Linked DNA regions of Mus musculus. Each later gene encodes a partner of the first gene's protein in a complex. Links are inferred from orthologs where the notes say so. Each region holds a gene or a part of one and is shown in the gene's direction. Other genes may lie near its edges.

Region 1 (6,193 bases):
AAATTCTTAGATATGGATTTAAAAACTCACAAAAGTAATTATATTTCCATCTTACAAATATCGGTAGAGAAAGGAAACTAAAGGCACATTTAGAGGCTTGTTATGATCAGGGAGTAAAGTATCAGGCCCAATGGTGGGGATGGAATAGAGAAAATGGAAGACTCAGTTTGAGGTAAAGAGGCTGAATCTGTGGGGATGGAAAAAGAGATTCAAGCAGACTTAAGGGATTTCTTTTTTTTCTTTTGAAAATGTCATAATGAGGAATATGGAGTCTAAGTTTTAGCTGGGGACACCAGTTTAAAATAATGTCACTCCCAAAAATTGGGAAGAAGCCAACTCAGTTTGGGGCATTAGAATATAAGATGCTTGTATGCCTAACTGTCTAGATTAAGTTCAATACATACAGCTTTTACAGAAATTAACCCAAAACATAGGGAATGGAAGAGTGTAGCAGCAGTAGAATCCTTACTTACGGCTATAATCATTTAAGGCCCAGCAACACCGGAGGGGAAAAGAGATGCAGACTTCAGGAGGTAACAATCAATGAATGCCAGTGCCTATCACTGAACGTCTGTCTGGCTATCTGTAAGCCGGAACGACAGACTGAAAAGTGGGTAGACAGAAAATGTAGCACATAGGAAAAGAGGTGGAGTTGAAACTCAGACGCTCCGAAGACCGCTCACAACCATTGTGCAGGGCGGCCATTCCTAACACAGGGCGAAGTAACTTTTGTAAAGTTCGAGCAGAGAAAGAGGCAGAATGTAACTACAAGAGTATCCACAGAGGGAATACGACTACAAAGTTTTAGATCCGGGCAGGACCTCAAGGAGCTTTTCCTCTTCTCAACATTCTTAGGACCACTCTTCAAGGTCTTAGTTTAACAACACATCAGCCTAATCGCATCTCAGATTGCCAATGTTTTTAAGAGTACTGTAGGAGATGAGCTGGCTTTCTATATGCTAACAGGAGAACATGGCTGAATTCCACCGTGAAGAGAAAAACGAGTTTAATCCCATTTCTGGAAGTACCTCGGCATCAAGACACATTTGGAACAATACCCTTCCATCCATTACCCGTGGTCACCTCGTGGGTGTGGCTATGGGCATCTTTTAGTCTGTATTTTAGGACTTTTCAGAGCCTGCAGAGATGGGGGAGGGGACTTTGGCGCCTTAAGATTGAGTTCCTTAACTGCGGGCCATGCGCGCTGGTGCACAACGAACTTGCAGGGATCGCTAAGGTTCTGCAGAGACGGCAGGCACATCGCTGGTGCCAAAGCGTCTCCCACCCCCGACTCTCACAAGCGTGCACTCTCTAGTTAACGCGCGATATTGACGTAAGCAGCCAGGGGCCCGGGACGCCACTGAGCGTCCTAACTTCGGCCTCCGTTCCGAACTAAAAAGCTCGATTACGGTGAAAAGCGTCCGGAAGGAACCCAAGCACGATGTTCTTCGGCGGTCCTCGCTCGCCCGGATTCGCTCCGGCCGCGGGAGACCTGGAGGCCCACAGTCGGCAGCGATCCAAGGTGGAGCGCCTGGGGGGAGGTGGTTCCCGCCACGGCCAGCGGCCGTTGGGGCCGTTACTCACCGTTCCTCAGGACGCCGAGCTGCGGCTGGCGGAGTACCGAGTTGAAGAGCATCTGGGCCTGAGGAGAAGGCTCAGCTGAGGGGAACGCCGAGAAGATCGCCCCCAAGTTCCACAGGAGCCGCCGTCTGCACCCTCCACAACGCGGCGCGGTTTCGCCTCCAACTCCCGCCACTAAGAGCCCCGGCCGCCAAACTCCGCGCCAAACTGACGTCACGCTTTCTGATTGGCTCTCGTCGCAGCGTCCTGGCGCCTCGAAGGCTCGCCCCCATCCTAAGCTCCGCCTCCCTCTCGCTCAGCCGCGGGAACCCAAGGTTCACAGGCTCCCTGAGCGCCTGCGCGGGGGGGCCCAGAGAGGAACTGGCGAACCGCGGGGCGACCGAGGCGCATGCGTACACTGCCTGACAGCGCGCGGAGGGAAAAATCCGCGAGACCGCGGCGGGAGAAGATGGCGGTGCTGGGGTAGAGTTTGCAATCTTTGTGACTGGGCGAGTCGGGTAACTGTCCGGGTCATGGCGTCAAACTCAACCAAGTCGTTCCTGGCCGATGCCGGCTATGGCGAACAGGAGCTGGACGCTAATTCCGCTCTTATGGAACTGGACAAAGGTACGGAGGAGGGACGCGGGCGAAGCGTCTGGGGGGAGTGGCGCCACCTAGTGGCGGCAGCTACAGAGGCTAGAAAGGCGCATGCGCCGATGTATGGGGCGGGAAGCACGGCTGCTAGTCTTGGAGCCAGCGCTTAGGCGCATGCAGGGTTGCTGGAGTAGCCTTGCACAGTTGGAGCAGAGGCTCGTGCTTGCGAGGATGCCTTTGACCACTTGGGGGCACAGTCTCTGGTTTCCCAGGCAGCAAATAAGATAAAGTGCTGAATTTTGAGATTATTTTTTAAAACGTTCAGTGCAGGTGAAGCCTTCATTAAGAGAGCCAAATGATTTTCTGAGCGTTTTACAGCGATTTGTCTTGCGAGACTGTCAATTGCGCGTTCTAAAGCAGGTTCCATGTGGATGAGAACATCCGAAAAGCTTGGCTGAACGCGCTCATTCTCTGCACACAAGTTCCACGAGTTAGTTCCCCTTATACAGGTAGCTAAGAGAAAAAATTTTAGGGTTAGGAGTTAAATTCCAGTTCTACTAAAGTGATTATGGAATGCGGCATTATCATCTAGCCTCGATATGTCAGCAAAGTGGGCACAGTATGTCAGCTGTTGTAAATGTTAAATGGCAGTGGTATGCGAAAAGATGCCTTTATTAAAGGCTGAAGAGGGACTTTGACAGATAGCTATCCATAAAGAAGTCCTGTGTAAATGTGAGACCTTTGCTTCAGTTTCCTGCCAAGGTTTTTACACTATAGGCAATTCTTGGTTAACTGTAGCCAGTGTGTAACCTGTAGAGAACGGGACTGGAAACCAAGGATCTGTAAGTTCAAGTCTGGGGGGCAGGGTGTGCCAAGTAGGGACTGGGGGATGCTGAGAGAACCTGGAGGTCAATTAGACTTTGGCATGTTAAATATGCACCTTAGTTCCTTGTCCAAGTTTGAAACCAGTTACAGGTAAGAGTTTTTTACGTTTTACTAAAGTCTGTGACATCCAGGTTGGCCTGTACTCCCTAAAGCCAAGGATAACTCTCAACTTTTGATCCTCAGCCTCCCAAGTCCTAGACCTGATGTGGCCCATTACACTGTTTTATTCAGTGCCAACTCCCTTCCCACCGAAATGTGTATGGCTCTAGCGTAGCTAATCTTGTCCCAGGCTAAGAGTAGATAGTGTTGTAGAGCAGGGTAAGGATATGGAGCAAGGAAAGGAAGGACATCCAGAGTTACCTTCTAAGTGTTGTGAGCCAGTGTGATGGTTTACTGTGTGAAACACTTCCTGTGCAAGCCTGACAGTCACACACATGTGCACACATACATACAATAACAATGAAATAAGGTTTACATTAAAAAAAAAAAAAAGATGCTGCGGCTGTAGGGATGACTTAGCCTTTAAGAGGCCACACTGCTGTTTTGTGGGACCAGAGTTCAGTTCTCAGCACTCACACCCCAAACCTCACAACTGCCTGTAACTCTAGAGGGTCTGTTATACACCCATCTCTCCCTCCCCCTACATACACATAATTAAAAGTGAAGCTCTTTGAAAGAAAAGGTTACAGTTGTAATGAAAGTAATAGTACAACCTTTTTAATAAGAAGAGTTGAAATTAAAACACATATGTGTAAGAAATAAGTGGGGGCTGTTGAGTGTTTTACAGATAAGCCCTAAGCTCAACAAGACACATTGTATCAGCCGGGAACAGTAGTGTGACACATTGCTAAAGGCTGAGTCCCACATATTACTCTAATAAGTGTAGCTTTTCCTAATGTAGATTATTATCATCAGACCAAGTATTTGCCCCTCCAGTGATTGGAAGTTGTCCAGATGAAAACAGGCAAGATCCCCTTCCTGCAGAGAGAAAGGTTTAGTGACATCACTCAACCTGATGGCTCTGTGCACACCTGGCTTTGAGAGGATGGGTGGGAGTGGGGAAGGTGACTCATTCCCTTTCTTGCTGCACATGAGTGGAAGCTGGTGAACCTAATGCTGTAGGAAAAGCCTGATCGTGGAGTGCTGATTCAACTCTTGAGAACTGGGTGAGAGTCAGGACAGAATCCACACACTAGGATTTCCTAGCGTTGTTACCATCCACCCAGTTCCACCATCTTAATTCTCCCTGTGAAGACCACTGTTGTACTGCCCATGTGTGCAGGAATGTAACTGGTGTTAGGGAGTGAGGACTCAGCACAGCCCCTCTGAGAGAATGAATGGCCTTAGCCACTGGGTTGGGTGTGCACTAGGCGGCTGACGCCATGTCATTACTGGTGGTTTTAAGAGTAGTAGAAACATGGCCCTATGGATTCAGACTTTTTTTTCCTGAGGATATTTATTACCAGACTACATTTAGTCTGACAGCATTGGTAAGTGAACCTTTAAGGTTATATAGAATCTAGATTCAGCAACTAGTTTACCACATTGAAGCTGAATTAGGGAGCATGGACTCTGCAGTTTGGTTGGTGACCCTGATGGACAAGGTCAGATAAACTAAACAGAAATCCACTTATTGAAACCATGGCCTTACTTTTATGTATGACTGTGAGCTGTTGTCTTATGATTTACAATGGGAATTATTAAATAGTCTCATTTCTTATTGTTTTAAACTAGTATTTTCTCATGTGCAGTCTGCATTATATGTCAGCATGTTTATTAGCAGTGATTTCTGAAGTTTTGTGGGAGGATACTTAGTAATTATGTCAGAAATTGCCATTTCTGCCTTCCAAATGTGAAGTGACCTTTATTAACTGTTTATTAAGCTGTGGGTTGTGGGTTGCCTTCTGTCTTAGTCAGGGTTTCTATTCCTGCACAAACATCATGACCAAGAAGCAAATTGGGGAGGAAAGGGTTTATTTAGCTTACACTTCCATACTGCTGTTCATCACCAAGGAAGTCAAGACTGGAACTCAAGCAGGTCAGGAAGCAGGAGCTCATGCAGAGGCCATGGAGGGATGTTCTTTACTGGCTTGCTTCCCCTGGCTTGCTCAGCCTGCTCTCTTATAGAACCAAGACTACCAGCCCAGAGATGGTCCCACCCACAAGGGGCCTTTCCCCCTTGATCACTAATTGAGAAAATGCCTTACAGTTGGATCTCATGGAGGCACTTCCCCTGAAGCTCCTTTCTCTGTGATAACTCCAGCTGTGTCAAGTTGACACAAAACTAGCCAGTACACCTTCTATTGTGTAGTTATACTTACTCTATTTCTTTGTGGTGCTGAGGCTTGAACAAAGGGTCTCATTCCCGGTGTTCTGTTGCTTTGCAATTGAGCTGTATTCTAACCCTGTGTGGTGATACTTGGAAATTTTTTTTAGTCCTGTTACAACCAAGCACCATTAAAAAATGAATATATGAGATGTATACATGTTAGAGATTCAATTTTGAGCCATGTTCATCTGAGGTAAAGAAAATATGCAGCCATTGTCTAAGACACCCTTTCCTGGTAATGCTTTGTTAGTGGTGCTTTAGTGGATATTGGTTGCATCTGTGGTTACTTAGTGTCTCGAATGTCTACCTGAGGAGTAGCCCTTAGGAGCCCCTTCTCATGAAGGTGGAGGCAAAAAGTTCCCTAGCTTGTCTTTCGAGAGCAGCTCCGAGTTACCAGATCCTGCCAGTAAGACACATGCTTTGATTAGCAGCAGGAGATGAAGAGCTAGCTCAGGGGTGCTCACAGTTCCTGTGGCGGCACAGTGTCAGCTGCATAGGCCCTAAATGACAGGGCTCACTGTAGCATCTCGTTTCTTAGTAACAGTAGTTGCTCTCATCTAATTAGTTTGGCAGTGTGGTGTTAGGTGTTCTTAGAAGTTTAGCAGGTTTAAATGCCAGGTGTGGTGACGTATCCTGTAACCACAGAGCCTGGGAGGCAGACATGTAGTCACTCCCAGTTTGAGATCATTCATAGTGAGTTTCAAAGCAGCCAGGTCTGCATAGTGAGTGCCAGGATAGGCTGTGTTGAAAAGCAAGACTGAATCTCAGCAATTAAACAAAACCCAAGAAGTCTAGTCTAAAAATGTTTAAGAGATTAACTACATA
Region 2 (5,630 bases), on another chromosome or scaffold:
TGAAGCTACGTTGTCCCTTGGTACTGAGATGTCATTTGAAAGGCTCAGAGGGTGCCTGTTACCTCAGCTGCTTAGGAGACTGAGGCAGGCAGATGAAAAGTTCAAGGTGAGCCTTGGCCACTTCTTAACTTGACCCTGTATGACAGTAAAAAAGTAAATTGAGGGATATGGATATAATTCAGTGGTAGAGCCCCTGCCTAGAATCCCCCAGTGAGGGGCTGGGGTGTGGCTCAGTGGTAGAGCCCCTGCCTAGACTCCCCCAGTGAGGGGCTGGGGGCGTGGCTCAGTGGTAGAGCTCCTGCCTAGAATCCCTCAGTGAGGGGCTGGGGGCGTGGCTCAGTGGTAGAGCCCCTCCCTAGACTCCCCCAGTGAGGGGCTGGGGGCGTGGCTCAGTGGTAGAGCTCCTGCCTAGACTTCCCCAGTGAGGGGCTGGGGGTGTGGCTCAGTGGTAGAGCCCCTGCCTAGAATCCCCCAGTGAGGGGCTGGGGGCGTGGCTCAGTGGTTGACCGGCTGTCTAGATTCCCTCCTTGAGCACTTGCCAGCATTTCTGAAGCCATTTGTTGAGGAAAACGACACAGACTCTGGTGTATGGTTTCTGGGAGCTCAGAGCCTCCGTGTGCTGGTGAGGCCCATCTGTGTTGCCTCTAGTTGTCTGCTCTGAGCGTGGCCTCTGCTCTCATCCCTCTCTAACCCAGCCTCCCCCCACCCCACCCCCTGTGTGGTCAGTTCTGCCCACAGTGCTGCTGGACGAGATTGAAGCCGCTGAGCTGGAGGGCAATGACGACAGGATCGAGGGAGTGCTGTGCGGGGCAGTGAAGCAGCTGAAGGTGACGCGGGCCAAGCCTGACAGCACGCTCTACCTGAGCCTCATGTACCTGGCCAAGATCAAGCCCAACATCTTTGCCACAGAGGGTGTCATCGAGGTGAAACTGACCACCTCCCCTGTTCACTCCGCCCTCCCTAGACCTGCCGCTGTCTCTGTGGCATGGGCCGTATCGTGACAACTGTAACTTTCCTTTCCTTTCAGGCCCTGTGCAGCCTCTTGCGGAGGGACGCCTCTGTCAACTTCAAGGCCAAAGGGAACAGCCTCGTGTCTGTACTGGCCTGCAACCTTCTCATGGCCGCGTACGAGGAGGACGAGAACTGGCCTGAGATCTTCGTGAAGGTGAGTCCTCTCCAGGGTCTCAGAGCAGAGCGCAGAGGGAAGGTGGGTGCTGGAGAGGGACGCGAATGGAGGCTCCCAGTGAGCTGTCCTTCCTTTAAGGGCTTTGATGAAGGCCTCTTGCATGCCCACTCTGGGGACCCATCCAGCCTCAGGCAGGGTCCAAACCTGATTCACCGTAGGTATACATTGAAGACTCGCTGGGCGAGCGGATCTGGGTAGACAGCCCTCACTGCCGCACCTTCGTGGACAACATCCAGACAGCCTTCAACACCAAGATGCCCCCAAAGAGCGTCCTGCTGCAGGGGGAGGGGGCACGCAGTGGTGGTGAGCTTGGTGCAGGTAAGAGATGCCGAGGTGTCTGTGAGGTTGGGCCAAGGGCACCATCCTCCACTTCCCTGGGAGGAGGCACCCATTAGCTCCCGTGGTCCCTGCAGGCAGCAGCCCCCACCCCTCACTCACAGAGGAGGAGGACAGTCAGACGGAGCTGCTGATTGCCGAGGAGAAACTGAGTCCTGAGCAGGAGGGGCAGCTCATGCCAAGGTAGGTGGGCCGACAGCTTCAGTCTCAGAGGGCCAGAGGGAGGGCACGGGAGCTGGCATCCTTCCTGGCCTCCTTCCCCCCCTCTGGCCTAGGTACGATGAACTCACAGAGAGCGTGGAAGAATATGTCCTGGACATGCTGCGTGACCAGCTGAACCGGCGCCAGCCCATCGACAACGTGTCCAGGAACCTCCTGCGGCTGCTCACGGCCACCTGTGGCTACAAGGAGGTACGGTTGCTGGCTGTGCAGCGGCTGGAGATGTGGCTGCAGAACCCCAAGGTACGCTGTGTTGGTGAAAGAGTTTGTGTTGGGGGGGTTCTCCTTGGGGGTTCCGGGCGGTTGTGCTTGCGTGCTCAGTGGTCTTCCTGGCTTCCCCGCAGTTGACCAGGCCAGCGCAGGACCTGTTGATGTCTGTGTGCATGAACTGCAACTCCCATGGGTCAGAAGACATGGATGTCATCTCTCACCTGATCAAGATCCGCCTCAAGCCCAAGGTGCTCCTCAACCACTATATGCTCTGCATCAGGTACGCGGTCAGCCGGGGCGTCAGGCAGTGAGGCAGGCCGGTGGGCAGCCGGGGCAGCCTGTCCCGTCCCCCTCACCGGCTTGCCTCTTGGTGTCCAGGGAACTGCTGAACGCGCACAAGGACAACCTGGGTACCACTATCAAGTTTGTGATCTTCAATGAGCTCTCGAATGCTCGAAACCCCAACAACATGCAGATCCTGTACACAGTGCTGCAGCACAGCTCTGAGCTGGCACCCAAGGTGGGGTACTCAGTGAGGGACAGGCCCCTGGGCTTGCGTGAGCCTCACAGGGAGAAACTCGTGGCTCTGGGCGGGAAGGTCCATTGGCTTCTGGTTTCTGAACCATCCTTGTGAGCTAACACTGTGCAGCATGTCCGACTTCCCCAGCTCCAGCATGGTGTAGCCTCCTTAGTTGGGGTTTTTCTAAGCCAAGCTGGCATCTCCACAGCCCTCCAGCCCTGGCCTGGGGTCCTGGCTTGTGGATACCAGGTCTGGCATCTCTCCATACCCAAGAAACACTCCTGTCCTTAACAAGGAGCCGGGCTGTTACATTAGGCTCTGCGTTAGCTTCTGGCCACACCCAGCGGTTGCCCTCTCAGCTCCGTGTTTTAAGAGAGCTGGGTAGTTGCAGACCCAGGAGGTAGCCCAGGTGGGTGGGGTAGAGTGGGCCGAGGTATCTGGCAGTGTCATTGCCGGCATCTCCATTCCTGAGCTTGCCAGTTAACCTTTACCCTGGTCAGAAGAGGACTGGCTCCCCTCCCGCCAACTGTCAGGGAGGTGAGATACAACACGGCCTCCGTCCTAAGAGTTCACATCCATGAAGGGGAGACGGCCCCCTCCTCTCGGGATGTGCTCCCAAGATGTGCTGCGGGACCTTGCCCAATCCTACCGCGTTAGCTGCTTAGTATTTGGGAGGACTCTTCTCCTGGGGAAGGCTTTCTGCAGGTCCCGAGTGAGGTCCTGGCAAGGTGTTGGGGGGGTGGGGTATGGCATAAGCATGCACCTGGATGGCCATTGACCCCAGCTCCCTGTGGCTTCCCTCCTCCTCAGTTCCTAGCCATGGTGTTCCAGGACCTGCTGACCAACAAGGATGACTACCTCCGCGCCTCTAGGGCCCTGCTGCGGGAGATCATCAAGCAGACCAAGCACGAGATCAACTTCCAAGCCTTCTGCCTGGGGCTCATGCAGGAGCGCAAGGAGCCGCAGTACCTGGAGATGGAATTTAAGGTGCCTTGCGACCCTGCTCACCACCTCCCACGCTGCCGTTTCCTGACACTGAGAGGCTTGCCTTGTCATAGGGATGGCCAACGTGCCAGGCTTGTGTGCAGCCATGGGCTCGGTGGTCCACACACCCAAGTGTGAAGCCACTCAGTGTTGCTCCATCCCTCGTAAGGACGGGGCGGGGCTGACCAAGCTAGGGAGCTGGTGACCCCAGCATGGGTGTGGACACTGCAGCTGGCAGGACTGAGGATTAACTTGGGGAGATGGACAGAGCACCCCAGTAAAGGGTCTGATTGACTCGGGGTGCAGAGCAAGAGATGGGAGGGAGTTTCGCTGAGCAGAATGAGGCAGGAAGGCTGAGGACCTCTAAGGCACTGGAGCAGGATGGCAGTCCTCTGTTGTGACAGCCTGCCATTGGGGACAGGATTTTCTCTGTTGGCTGAGTCCCCTCCCAGTAGCCTAATCAGGACCTGGCTCATCCTGGACCCAGAGGCCTGCTTCTGTCAGCTCTTCTCCCAGCATGGTGGTCTCTAGATGTGGGGGCAAACTCTTAAGTAGTTTGTGTGTCTGTTGTGCATACACATGCACGCGTCCCTATGCCACATGGGACCTTTGGGAAGGGCCCTCAGTCACGCCAGCCTTGCCACCCATATGCCCACAGGAGCGGTTTGTGGTTCACATCACGGATGTGCTAGCTGTGTCCATGATGCTGGGCATTACAGCCCAGGTGAAGGAGGCTGGAGTCGCCTGGGACAAAGGAGAGAAGAGAAGTAAGGCCCTGCTGGCTGGGGGCACTGTCAGCCGTGGACGTAAAACCAGGCCTCGAGTAATTGCACGTCCCTGGAAACCGAGGGCAGGGTGGGGGTGTGAGTGGGGGTCCCGGCATGGCTGCCGGAGGAGGTGGGTTTTCTAGAAGCAGCGGTCCCCTCCTGCCGTCTGGTTGAGAGGGTCATCTGTGCTTGGAGCGTGTTCACTCACTCAGGCATCCTGTTGGTTGTTGGGTGGGAGCAGGGGTGGTCTCCAGAGTGGCTCAGCCTGCTGGAGTCCACGGCTGCGGGGCATCAGGAGCCTGTTCACTCCCTAGACCTCGAGGTGCTCCGGACGTTCCAGAACCAGATTGCGGCTATCCAGCGGGATGCGGTGTGGTGGCTTCACACTGTCGTCCCCTCCGTCAGCAAACTCGCCCCCAAGGATTATGTGCATTGGTAAGAGGCAGACCGTCTCTCAGCCTCGCTGTGTCACCTGTGTGGGTACACTTCAGGTGGGAGCCATCACCTCCAAGGCAATCATTGTCCGCATGCCTTTAGAGCCCCAACACCGGTTGATGACAGAAGGAAGGGTCCTGAGCCTGAGAGCCACACGTGAGCCACCTCTCCTCACAGAGGCCCAACCGACCCCTCTCTTGGTCACTAGTGGCCACTGTGGGCAGGTGGCTCAGGAGTCGGGGGGGGGGGGGAAGCCCCAGTACTTTTCCATCAGTAGCTTTTGCCCAAATGGTCCCTGTGCAGCGCTGCTAGGGTGAAGACTCCTTGCACAGCTGCATCCTGACTGACACCTGCTCTGTCCCTGCAGCCTCCACAAGGTGCTCTTCACCGAGCAGCCCGAGACCTACTACAAGTGGGACAACTGGCCACCCGAGAGCGACCGCAAGTGAGGGTTGGGGTGGGCAGGCAGCCAGAGTGCAGCCTGTGGGCACATGCATAGCAGATGCTGGGCGGGTAGCCCCACCCTGAAAACCCAGTACTGTTCTTCTCCTGCAGTGGTGTCTGCCTCACACTCCTGCCCCTTCCCTGGACACACCCCCAGGGAACTCCTCTCCGCTCCCACTCTGTCCTTCCTGGACTGACCCTGTCCCTTCCAACCCACTGGTTACCTGTGTGTTCTGAGACATGGCCTCTCCAGTCCTGCTGTCAGTCTAGCTGCTAGACACTGCTGTCCTGTTGTACCACAAGCATGCTACCTACCCTAGCTGCCATGTTTGCCAGCTGCTCGCCAGGGTTGTGTGCAGCCTGACTGTCACTCGTGAATGAGTGACAGTGGCTTCCCACTCTCTCCCTATCCATTAAAGGCCGGGAACTAGTGTGCATTTCCTACACGGGCCACTAGACTAAGGAAGATTATACCCTCGGGAAGGTGGCCACAGGAGATCATGGTGGCTCCTTACCACCTGTCTCCTAA
Region 3 (5,630 bases), on another chromosome or scaffold:
GCAATTTTTATACAGAGTAAAGCTTGAAAAGCCCTGGCCTTACTCATCCCCACATAATAAGGGGGAAACTGAGGCCCAGCCAGGCTGGAGTGGCAAACTTGTGACCCTTCCTTGCATCTCTGAGCAGAAGCAGACTGGAGCCAGGCTCTCAGAAGTGTCTCCTTCATTCCTTGCTGCCTTCTAAAGACGACCTGTCTGTCACAGGAGTAGGAAAGGCTGTTGACAACAGACTGCAGGTCCTCCCCAACTACCTACCTCCGTTGTTCTGTAAATGAAGCAAAAGCCAACTTGACTTTACAGTTTTTCAGCCATTCATGCTTTTAACACATTACAGCCCATAATGTGATTATTTCCACATTCCATAACTGGCTGTGTTTCAGATAATAGATCGTTTCTTACAGACAAATACTAGTGCCAGAAAGTGTGATGAAAAGGACTTAAAAGGGAACAGATTGTTTCTTCTGAATCACTCAGCCACAGTCAGAGACTGAGTAGAAACATCCTGAAAATTTGAAATAGGATTTAGAGAGAAGGAGTTGCCTAAAGCTCAGGTTCACTGGAGACATTAAAACCTACCAGGGGATTCAGTTAGACAGTGATGAGAACATCAGCCTTCAATCTTGCATTGCCCAATGTACACTTCTCTACAAAAGATTAGACAGTTATAAAGTGTGGGGGTCATAAGAACAGGCTGAGGTTAGAAAGGTTTTGTGTGTGGAAGTGTTGAGGTAGAGAACACAGAATAGTAGGGTTATAAAGAGATTGAGTAGTTAGGACTGGCTTACAGTTTCAGAGGTTCAGTCAGTCCATTATCATTATCATGGTGGGAAGCATGGCATCATGCAGGCAGACATGGTGCTAGAGACAGAGTTGAGAATTCTACATTTTGATCTGCAGGCAGCAAGGAAAGACTGTTCCATACTGGGCAAAGCCTGAGCATATAAGACCTTAAAAGCTCACCCCCACAGTAGCAAACTTCTTCCAACAAGGCCATGCCTCCTAAATAGTACCACTTCTTATGGGCCAAGCACTCAAACACATGAATCTGGTGGCACAAAACGGAAGTCTGACTGGAGGATGTTTAGAGTAGGGGGAGGAAGTGAGAAGCACTGCAGTGCACCACCCATGGATTTTGAAATGTGTAGTGGATACTTAGGATACTGAAGCAACCTGGAGCCAGGGGTAGCTGTTTAATCCTTCTGCCAGAGCCAGGGAAATGCCTCCTTTTGGTTGATGGGGAGTGGTTTCACAAGTTTCTGAGAAATACTAACTTTATGTAACTGCCAGAAGTCATCCCATAGCTCAGGTTGAGCTTGACCTTACAAAAGCTACATAGCAAGACCCTGTCTCAAAAATAAATCATATCATACACAGGAGAAGAGAAATAATGTAATTGTCATTTTAAAGGTTGTATTTGTCCTTTCTAACATTGTTCTTTTGGTACCATCTTCTCTCTCCTCAACTTTTCCAGCTCTGACAGTTCGGAATGGAGGAAACGTGTTGGTCCCTTGCTATCCTTCAGGCGTGATCTATGACCTCCTGGAGTGCTTATATCAATACATTGACTCCGCTGGCCTCTCCAACATCCCTTTCTACTTCATCTCCCCCGTTGCCAACAGTTCACTCGAGTTTTCCCAGATTTTTGCTGAGTGGTAAGTCAGTAGTATCCTTTCTCTGAGTTCTGCTTAAGTATGTTCAGTCAGTAAAAATGAAAATAACTGTGATTTCTTAAGAGTACTTAAGACTTCATGCATGTGCATGTGTGTGAACTACTGAAAGTCAAATCCCATACATTGCTAGCATTTAGAAGCATAGGTACGAAGAAAGGATAAGAAAGCCCCAAGCTCATACTGTTGTAATTACCTACATCTGATAAGAAAAGCTAGATCTTTATTTCCATAGCCAGTTTATCAAAGATCCATTTTATTATACCAAGAAGCTGACCAACTCCTAGAGCAGACACTTAGACATAGGTTACTAAGCTTTGACCATGTTCGAAGAGTTTGAGTCTAACTCCCCTGGTCAAAAGAGGGAAGTGGAGGTAGATGTAATTTCTAAATTCTTAAGAGCCATGTGACACAGAATAGAATATGTCCAATCAGTTTTAGTAGTATGGTGACCAAATGGACACACAGCAGTTACTAAGTTCCTCCCTGAAAATGGAATTTTTACATTACCATGTTATAACATATCCCAGTGTTATGCCCCTCACCCCTCTCCTGGTTTTGGTGTGTGGGTTTTTCCTTCCCATTGAATTGTGGGCGTCTCCCTGAGTTGACTCTGCTCCCTTTGGTCAATAGGACTGCTCCTTGTCTTTACTTCTCACTCGTTTTTATCCTTACACACAAGTGTCTTCCCCACATAGGAGACCCCAAGCAGCATTTGCAGATGAAGTTAACATGTTAGAAACTTGTTTTCATTCAGACCCCCAATAAAAATACTGCAGCACACTCCTGGGTCACGCCCTGTGGGCTGAGTAGACAGTGCCCCACCATATCAGGCCTGTGCCTACAAGAATGGTCGTCACCCAGCACAGGGATTGGAGTCCTGCAGGGTCTTTCTGTGAGTTTGTTTTGCAGGTGTGTGTTAGTTCATAAGTGGGCAAGCCATGTTATGTAGAAAAACAAGTTATAGAAAATAATAGAGACCTGGAGCCCACAACACCACTGTCCAAATAAACCCCATCTGACCTAGAAATCATGTTGAGTAGTTAACATTTTTTTAGATATCACCTTGTCAAGTTTCACTTCTTAATTTTAAATTCTGATTTTGTTTTCCTAAAGGGGTTGCAGCTCAGTAGTGCAGTGCTTATGTAGCAGAAAACATTCAATAACACTAAACCATTATGAAACCTTGTGAAGAGCAGCAAATGTTTGTTTTCCCAGCACTTGGGAAGCTGAGGCAGGAGGAGAACAGGTTCAAGGCCAGACTGCTACAGCCCATACCTTGTCTCTTCTTTCTTTGAAAGAAAAAAATGAGCACACAGTCAGCACGTACTGAGCACACAGTAAGCTCACAGTGAGCACACAGTGAACACACAGTGAGCATACAGTGAGCACACAGTGAGCATACAGTGAGCACACAGTGAGCACACATTGAGCTCACAGTGAGCACACAGTAAACATACAGTGAGCACACAGTGAACACACAGTGAGCATACAGTGAGCACACAGCACACAGTGAGCACACAGTGAGCATACAGTGAGCACACAGTGAGCATACAGTGAACACACATTGAGCACACAGTGAGCACACATTGAGCTCACAGTGAGCACACAGTAAACATACAGTGAGCATACAGTGAGCATACAGCATACAGTGAGCACACAGTGAGCATACAGTAAGCACACAGTGAACACACAGTGAACATACAGGGAGCACACAGCATACAATGAGCACACGGCCAGCGCACGTGGCTGCAGTATTGTCTCCTCACATCACTCACATCTATATACTTAGCTTATTACCTTCTCATTGGCTGGCAGGGCTTTTCCTTTTAAGAATAAATCTTAAATTGAAACTATTCTGTCTATATATGATGATAGCATTTGCCTTAGGTAAGTTACTAAAAGTGGAATTACTGGAATAAAGGGTAGGAATATTTTTAATGTTCATTATCTAATACTACTTGCCAAAATATTTTTATGTAAATTATTCCTTTTTTGCCCATTTACCTCTTAAAGGTTTTATATCTCTATTACATATTTGAACTCTGTGTATATATTAAAGATATTAACTTTTTGTTAACATACTTTAGCCATTTTTCCCAGTTTGATACTTTTTTTTTAATTTTATCTTGGATTTCTTTCAGTTTAAGTAATAAACTTTGTACCTTAGAATAATTTTAGATTTACGGAAAACCATAATGACAATAGAGTTCCCGGACACCTTTCACCTACTTTACCCCAATGTTAGCATCGCTCAGGGCAAACACATTTATCAAAACTAAAAAAGGGAGTGGAGGAGCTCTGAGTACTGCTCCAGAGGACCCAGATTCAGTTCCCAGGACCTGCATGGCAGGTCACAGTTGTCTGTAACTCCAGTCCCAAGGGATGGTAGGCCCTCTTCAGCCTCTGCAGGCTGTGCACTGCACATGTGCTACACAGACAGACATGCAAGCTGAGCACACATACACATAAAATGAAAATAAGCAAATCTTCAGAAAAGAGAACAAGAACTAAGAAGTAATAAGAGAGCAGGGGTAGCAGTGTATGCTTGCAATCTCAGCAGTTAGAACCCTGAGGGAAGGAAAATCCAGAGTTCAGAGCTAGCCTCAGCTACATAGTGAGTTGAAGCCAGCCTCAGCAACATGAAACCCTGCTTCAAAGAAGTGGTGTTAGCCGGGCAGTGGTGGCGCACTCATTTAATCCCAGCACTTGGGAGGCAGAGGCAGGTGGATTTCTGATTTTTAGGCCAGCCTGGTCTACAGAATGAGTTCCAGGACAGCCAGGGATATACAGAGAAACCCTGTCTTGGAAAAAAAAAAAAAAAAAAAAAAAGGAGGAGGAGGAGAGGAGGGAGAAAGAAGAAGGAAGGAGGAAGAAAGAAAGAAAGAAAGAAAGAAAGAAAGAAAGAAAGAAAGAAAGGAAGGAAGGAAGGAAGGAAGGAAGGAAGGAAGGAAGGAAGGAAGGAAGGAAGAAGGAAGAAAGAAGCAGAAGAAAGTGGTGTGTGAGCCCATGCTGCAGTGTCCATGCAGAGACCGGGCAGCCAGGCAGGCACCACAGCTTGGAATGTCCTTGGCACCCACAGAATGAGTGTGGCTGCCTAGGAGAGGAGCAGTGTCAGCGGCAGCTCCTCAAGAGGGCATGGGGAACATTAGGGAAGAGGGAGAAGGAAGGGTGTAAAGAGGAGAAAGATGGGGACGTATGATCTTCCCTCAGAGAGACTTAGCGATCATGGTTTACCAAGGAGAGAACTAGAGTAAAAGTCTTCCTCCTTTTCTAAGCTCTCCCGCTGTTAGTCGCTGCCCTCCTCCTAGCCAACTGCCATTCTCCTCAGCTACACCGGGAGTCCTCTAGGCAGCTGGACACTGTCTGAAAGCAGCAAGGGACTGAAAGTGTGAAAGCGTCATTAAGGCCATTCCAGTGTGACCTGGAGCCCAGTCAGGGTCAGAGTCCCCACTGGCTTTAGACTCCCTGCTTTGCTTTGCTAGCCCCCTTTGTACAGCGGCCTGCAAAGCACTTGCTGCCTAACAGGAATTCGGTTGCTTAATTGAACAAGTGCTAGCTCTAGAGTGGAGTAACTCAGCAAGGGATTGTGGTGGAGCCAAGTTAGGCCTGCTAACCCCAAGCCAGGACCAACATCACTCCATTCCAGCTCCCTGCCTCCCCCCTTTCTTGCTTAGAAGAGTGTTCCGGGGGGAGCACCCTCAGGCCCAGCTGCTTACTTGTGTCTGCTCAAAACTACTCTGTGCTTCCTGATCTCAGGGGCATCTGCTGTAGTCTGCAAAAGCCCCCTGCTCCCTGCTCTACCAGTATCAGCCCCAACTCCAGATAAGGACACTTTTGTTTGCTTGCTTGTTGGGTTTGTTTTCTTTTTAGGGGAGAGGGAAATTCCCAGAGCCTCTTCCTGAGCCATAGTGCCCTCAGGAGTGCAGGACTGCAGTAGCTGTAGCTTTGGGGGGCACAGCA
Region 4 (5,630 bases), on another chromosome or scaffold:
ATGTTATCCCCTTTCCTGGTTTCCCGTCCGGAAACTCCCACTTCCTGGCCCTGACATTCCCCTGTACTGGAGCATAGAGCCTTCACGGGACCAAATGGTGCTGCCTCAACTGGTGGTTTGCATGTAGAAGAATGCGAGTTGATCCATTCTTACCTCCTTATACATTTTTTTTTTTTTTTTTAGTTTCCTATTGAAATTAGCTCTTCAAAACTACAACCAAAATTATTTCAGATGAGCAGTTGTTATGACACACTTTTCCTCAGTCCATGGAGCACACATACATGCACATAACCAGCACACACATGCTTGAACTCACAAGGACTATTCACTCTAGAAATGGAGTCCACAGCAAACCAAAGTAGTCATTGTACCAATGTCCAATTGGTGACCAAATGAGGGTTTTTATTGGGGTTACTAAGAGGAACATTGGTGAGGTCACGGTGAGGGCTGATGCAAGCAGCTCCATCCCCAGAAATAGCACAGCAACACGGTGATGTCTCCTGGAGCTTGCCACACAGCTTGAAGGCTGTTGCACAGTCAGTCCAAACATGTCTGTGCAGTTTGAGTGCTCAGTCATCCCTAGCAACTGTTAACTTGTTTTCATACTGCAGGGGTGGGCTCTAGAGTTCCTGTTCTCCCCAGCACGTGACCACTTGTTTACCTCCTGAGGCTCATGAGTCTCCCCTTCTTCCTGCAAATTTGGAGGGAATGTTGCAGTTCAAAAGCGTGTGCCACACAACAGCAGTATGATACATTCCAGAGCAGGACAACCACAAAAAATGAATAATTTTTAAAAGAAATAACTTGTGAAAGACCTAAGTTTCCAAAATATTTAAATTATTATTTCTCCATCACTTTTTATTAACCAAAGTTAAAAGCTAAATTTCCTCAAGGTTTTCTTCTCTTATTTTTTAAGTTAGCTTACATCAACCTATGTACATGATTTTAATCTCTTTATATGTGGCCTTCTATAACTGACTCCATACTGATCCTTTAAATGTCATATCCTTAAGTTAAAGTGATTTTCTTTAGACCTCCCCTCAGTTGCCTGAGCTAGATGTTATGCTTGAAATCTTTCATAGTTCTTCATAGCTTTGTTTGCTAAACTTAACTGTGTCCACGTCCTATATGCCTCCCTCTGCTCACGTCAGTCTTACCACTCTGTTCTGCAAGCCTCTTATGACTTAGCTCTGCAGTAGCCCGTAAGAGGTCTCTTCATTTCCCTTCCAGCTGTTTTGCCACTATATTGTGTAGATTTATTCATCTAGATGAGTGACTTCACTTGATCTGTTTATGTTTCCCAGTGGCCTTCAGTTACTTCCAAAGCAAAGTTGTAACACACACACACACAGACACACACACACACACACACACACACAGACACACACACACACACACACACACACACACACACACACGGCTTCCTTTCCAGTTCTGATTTTCCAATGTAGATCAGGCCCTCTTGCTTAGGGATGGTGCTGCCCACCCTGGACTGGGCCCTCCCATATCAATCATTAATCAAGACAGGCTCTCATAGACATTAGCACAGGCTGTTCTGATCTGGGAATTCTCAGTTGAGGTTCCCTGTTCCCAAGTGACTGCAGGTTGTGTCAAATTGACAATAACCAGCACAGCAATTATGTTTCACTTTTATATTATTGAGGTACAGGCGGTCAAAGCCAGGTCCTTGCATATGCTAGGTAACAGTAATTATATCGTCAGCACCTAACATTATGAGCTCCTAGCTTAAGCTCTTACATAACTACAATCCGTCCTCATAAACACACAGGTGAAGGGAGGGAGGCATGTGTGTTGCACCTGAGGTAACAGCTGGGGAGGAATGAGCAGGGGTCAGCCCTGGGTCTCTTTGATACTAAACACTGTTTCAGTCTTTCTCTGTACTGCTACATAGCTAGGGCTGTCCTGCAGTAAACACTCAGAATCTGAAAGAGGATCCACGTTTATAGGGAGACTTGGGTAGTATTCATTTTGTCATAAAATAAAGTCAGTTATTGGTCAAAATAAAAATGCTTAGGAGGAATAAATAAAATTCTTACTGAATAACATGGAAATTATATTTATAAACTTTTCAAAGGATTTGATTCACCTGTATGAAAAAACCTCCAAAATGTGTTATTATTCATGAATAATTCTTCCCTTTGAATTCAGTGTTTAAAACCATGTAAATTACCAGAGTTGTTTTTAACTCATCTTCAGTAACTTAAAAACTTACAACTGAACCTCAAGAAGAAACTACTTCAGTCTTTGGCTAACCATAAAAAGAAATGACGTGCACTATTTAAGGAGTGATGCTAATTCCATGATTGTCTCCCACTTTCTGTGAACTCAGCATCTATGTATTCCACCTACTCTGCATTGAAAATATTTGTTGGTAGAATAAGGGCATTAAAGCATCAGTACAAAGCAAGGACAGGCTGGTTTCCCTGCTATTATTTCAATATTCAATATTTCAATGCATGGCATTTAGATTTAGAAACCTAGAGATGAGTTACTGTCTACAGAGGTCTTCTATAAATGTAGTATTTTCCCCCTAGTGCTGTAGCTGGAACTCCAGGGCCTTACATGCTAAGTATGCTTTACAGCTGAGCTGTATCCCCCAAGCTTTCAGAGTACTTTGTTTGAGGGTGGAGGCTGTGAGAGTCACACACAAACAGAGAGAGAAAGAGACTGGGACCGAGACAGAGCCAGAGAGAATGAGTTTGTTGGAGCTGGTTCTATCCCTCCACCTTTACATGGGTTTCAGGGATTACACTCGGGACTCCAGGGTTGTATGGAAGCTTCTTTACTCAGTGAGCCCCGGCCTTAGTGGGTTTTGTTTCTTTTGTTTGTTTACTTGTTTTACTTGTTTTTTGTCTGTATTTGTATCCCTAGCTGTTTTGGAACTCACTAGGTAGACCAGGCTGACCTGGAATTGACAGAGATTCAGGTTCTTCTACCTCCCATAAGTCTTTAAGACAAGGCCTTAATGTAGAAATCAGGCAGGCCTTCGTACTCCTTTTAGAGCCCAGGCTGCCCCTATGCTCCTAGTCTTCTTGCTTCCGCCTCCTGAGTACTTAGAGACAGATGGCACTAGGCCCAGATACTAGGCTGATTATCTGAGGGACTTAATTGAACATCCACAGATTTTGGTTTTTGTCAGGGGTTCCGAAACCCATCCTGCATGGGTAACAAAGAGTAGCTGTACCATAGTTTGGGATTTTCCTTTATTGAAAACAGGAGGGTTATCTTGTTAAAATAATATTTAACAAACCCTAATTTGCATGATTGATGGTATCATTACTCTTCAGAAACTAATGAAATCTGTAAAACTATATGTTGATTTCTTTTGATATTTCAATATCATCACAATATTTTTAGAACTATTGTTAACGTTCAATGTTTATAGTTTTTAATGCATTTTTAATTTTGTTATTTAATAAAAATTTTTATGTATAATTATCCACCTGTTTTTCATAGGCTCAGAAAACTCAGAAGCCACCACAGAAACCAGCGCCCACTGTTGTTTCTGTGACTCCAACTGTCAAGGATCCATTAGTCAAGAAGCCAGAAACCAAACTTAAACAAGAGACAACCTTCCTAGCATTCAAGAGAACCGAAGTTAAGGTAAAGTGTTTGTTTTCATCCGCGTTAAACCTCAGTGTGGCTGACTGAAGGGTAGGCTCTCATAAAACTTTGATGAGAAACTTTATTATGTGTCTGATGTTGGAAGTGAAGAACACTAATAATTAATTAGATAGGAGGGGAGCATTTATATCAGAATTTACTTTCTACACTGAAGTGTGAGGTGGTGCTAGGTTCCCAAGGTTGTAGTGCTTCATGTCTGTGCATCCTGGTTGTGCTCTACACCATCTGTCACTGTGGAGCAGCCCAGGCCACAGCGGTCATTAGAGTCAGGTGCTCAGCACAGCCACCTTGCTTTCCTGTCCATCCTTCATTGACCACTGGTCTCTTAGTCACTTTAAATAAGTTCTCTTTGGTGGAGCAGATAGTTTCATGTCTTATAGAAGGGAAAGGAGAAAAATGGATTTTTCAAACTGAAAATTAAGTTTGCCACACTGTGTTCTTTGCTTTCATTTTCTGTCACCAGCAGTGTGTGTCCCAGGAATTTATGTTTTGTAAGATGTTTTTCCTAATCAGGATATCATGAGATAATTATATAATGCTATTATAAAAATGTGGCTTTTCAGGACATGTGAACAAAAGTTTCAACTTTTCGTATCAATAAAAACCCCAAAGCACTCTTATTTTGATTGCTTTTTCTGGTGCTTAAAAGTAGTCATATACAGGCTATGTTGAAGGCAACTTTGTAAGAGCTAAAGAAGTCTTGCCTACTATTTCATAAGAGCTCAATTCTAAAATACAAATAGATATTCTAGATACTACATCACTATTTTTATACTTTATGTATTTTTCTCTTTAAATACAGACAGTCCTATATCTGACTTCCCCTTTGAATGCTTTTGTGAGCTTGTCTCAGTGTGAAGAAGGTAGACAGACTGTGAGTGGACAGAAGTCACCCTATATGCTTACAACAGCAATCAGCAATGCTTAGGGCCTCTTGTCTGTCTGTGTAGGAAGTTGATCAGAGAAGCCGAAATGTTAGAGTTGACACGTGAGCCAGGAGTGTGTCAAACCTCCCCAAAATGCCTGTGCCACCCAAGAGGCAGATGCAAAGTCTACTATGTGAAAGTTGGGGTCTATTACTATAGTTTCAATGGAAACACACTGCAAAACTGCTTTTATGAGTTCTTTTTAATGTATCCTCAGTTTACACATCTGAGGATATTTTATAGTAGAATAGATGTTGAAATTTTTGTGGCAACTTGATTATTTTAAGTGAGTGTAGAACTTCTATATAGACATTTCCTTTAACACATCTATCAATGATTGAATCTTTGTCTTAGGTATTTTCTCCTGAGTGTCTTGTGTGTAAACAGTTTTTTTTGGTTTGGTTGTTTTTTTTTAAATTAAAGTAGATTGGATTTAAAAGTGTCATGAGCTAGGTGAAACTTTGGGTGGTAAGAAAAGTGACTTGAAGAACTAAATCTGATTCTCTTCTGTCGTTTGTGACTGAATCTTAGGGCAGTTCCCAAAAAGAATTTCATGTATTTTCTCTGGAGTCATTAAAACAGTGTGGCATTCAGGAACTGCAAGTTGTGTAGCAGTCTCCCTGACTACAGAAACGCCCATGTGTTTCCCAATTCAGCTTCATAAGAACCTAATTTTGTTTTGTTGTCCATATTGTCCATGCATTACTTCTTTATATACAAGTAAGCATTTATATTCAAAGACATACAGGTGTTGATTATATTTGGCTCTAATGTAAGACTTATATTTTTTATTTTTTTTTAGCCATCCACGGTTATTTCAGGAAATTCTTCTAGTAACAACGTGTCCTCTTCAGTAACTAGTGGCCTAACTGGATGGGCAGCTTTTGCAGCCAAAACTTCTTCAGCTGGTCCATCAACAGCAAAATTGAATTCAGCAGCACAAAACAGTAGTGGAAAACCTGCTGCCTCATCCTCTAACCAGAAGCCTGTGGGTTTGACTGGTCTGGCAACATCATCCAAAGGTGGAATAGGTTCCAAAATAGGTTCTGGTAACAGCAC

What was found.
Region 2: the proteins of Ints7 (region 1) and Ints1 are in contact, whole or in part, in a cryo-EM structure (PDB 8RC4), measured with the Homo sapiens proteins. The link is inferred for Mus musculus from reciprocal best matches to the Homo sapiens genes INTS7 and INTS1. Residues at the interface, in NP_056249.1 of Homo sapiens: His150, Asp151, Leu187, Ala188, Thr189, Pro190, Val191, Lys194, Thr223, Ser224, Tyr225, Pro226, Ser227, Thr228, Asn262, Asp263, Pro264, Arg265, Lys266, Pro303, Tyr304, Gln349, Glu350, Cys352, Tyr353, His354, Asn355, Arg357, Ala360, Gln384; in NP_001073922.2 of Homo sapiens: Leu1378, Gln1381, Gln1382, Gly1385, Gln1386, Ala1389, His1429, Phe1430, Leu1431, Cys1433, Pro1434, Arg1437, Gln1438, Cys1440, Gln1441, Pro1476, Ala1479, Gln1480, Met1483, Leu1484, Gln1487, Arg1552, Pro1554, His1555, Leu1556, Glu1557, Glu1558, Pro1613, Ser1614, Gly1616.
Region 3: Ints7 (region 1) and Ints9 share a complex: the UniProt entries of both Homo sapiens proteins name them as parts of the integrator complex. The link is inferred for Mus musculus from reciprocal best matches to the Homo sapiens genes INTS7 and INTS9.
Region 4: Ints7 (region 1) and Ints12 share a complex: the UniProt entries of both Homo sapiens proteins name them as parts of the integrator complex. The link is inferred for Mus musculus from reciprocal best matches to the Homo sapiens genes INTS7 and INTS12.

The regions. Positions count from the first base shown.
Region 1 is NC_000067.6:191,573,765-191,579,957, forward strand, and holds the start of Ints7 (integrator complex subunit 7), read left to right. Parts: upstream 1-1,871; 5' UTR 1,872-2,093; coding exon 2,094-2,187; intron 2,188-6,193. Other genes in the region: Dtl (denticleless protein homolog), read right to left, coding at 1,585-1,636. UniProt on the Homo sapiens protein: Component of the integrator complex, a multiprotein complex that terminates RNA polymerase II (Pol II) transcription in the promoter-proximal region of genes.
Region 2 is NC_000071.6:139,767,891-139,773,520, reverse strand, and holds part of Ints1 (integrator complex subunit 1), read left to right. Parts: intron 1-726; coding exon 727-923; intron 924-1,027; coding exon 1,028-1,165; intron 1,166-1,344; coding exon 1,345-1,504; intron 1,505-1,599; coding exon 1,600-1,705; intron 1,706-1,791; coding exon 1,792-1,984; intron 1,985-2,085; coding exon 2,086-2,231; intron 2,232-2,329; coding exon 2,330-2,471; intron 2,472-3,281; coding exon 3,282-3,458; intron 3,459-4,113; coding exon 4,114-4,222; intron 4,223-4,536; coding exon 4,537-4,657; intron 4,658-5,024; coding exon 5,025-5,102; intron 5,103-5,577; exon of another isoform or gene 5,578-5,630. UniProt on the Homo sapiens protein: Component of the integrator complex, a multiprotein complex that terminates RNA polymerase II (Pol II) transcription in the promoter-proximal region of genes.
Region 3 is NC_000080.6:65,018,845-65,024,474, forward strand, and holds part of Ints9 (integrator complex subunit 9), read left to right. Parts: intron 1-1,471; coding exon 1,472-1,652; intron 1,653-5,630. UniProt on the Homo sapiens protein: Component of the integrator complex, a multiprotein complex that terminates RNA polymerase II (Pol II) transcription in the promoter-proximal region of genes.
Region 4 is NC_000069.6:133,103,462-133,109,091, forward strand, and holds part of Ints12 (integrator complex subunit 12), read left to right. Parts: intron 1-3,477; coding exon 3,478-3,624; intron 3,625-5,373; coding exon 5,374-5,630. UniProt on the Homo sapiens protein: Component of the integrator complex, a multiprotein complex that terminates RNA polymerase II (Pol II) transcription in the promoter-proximal region of genes.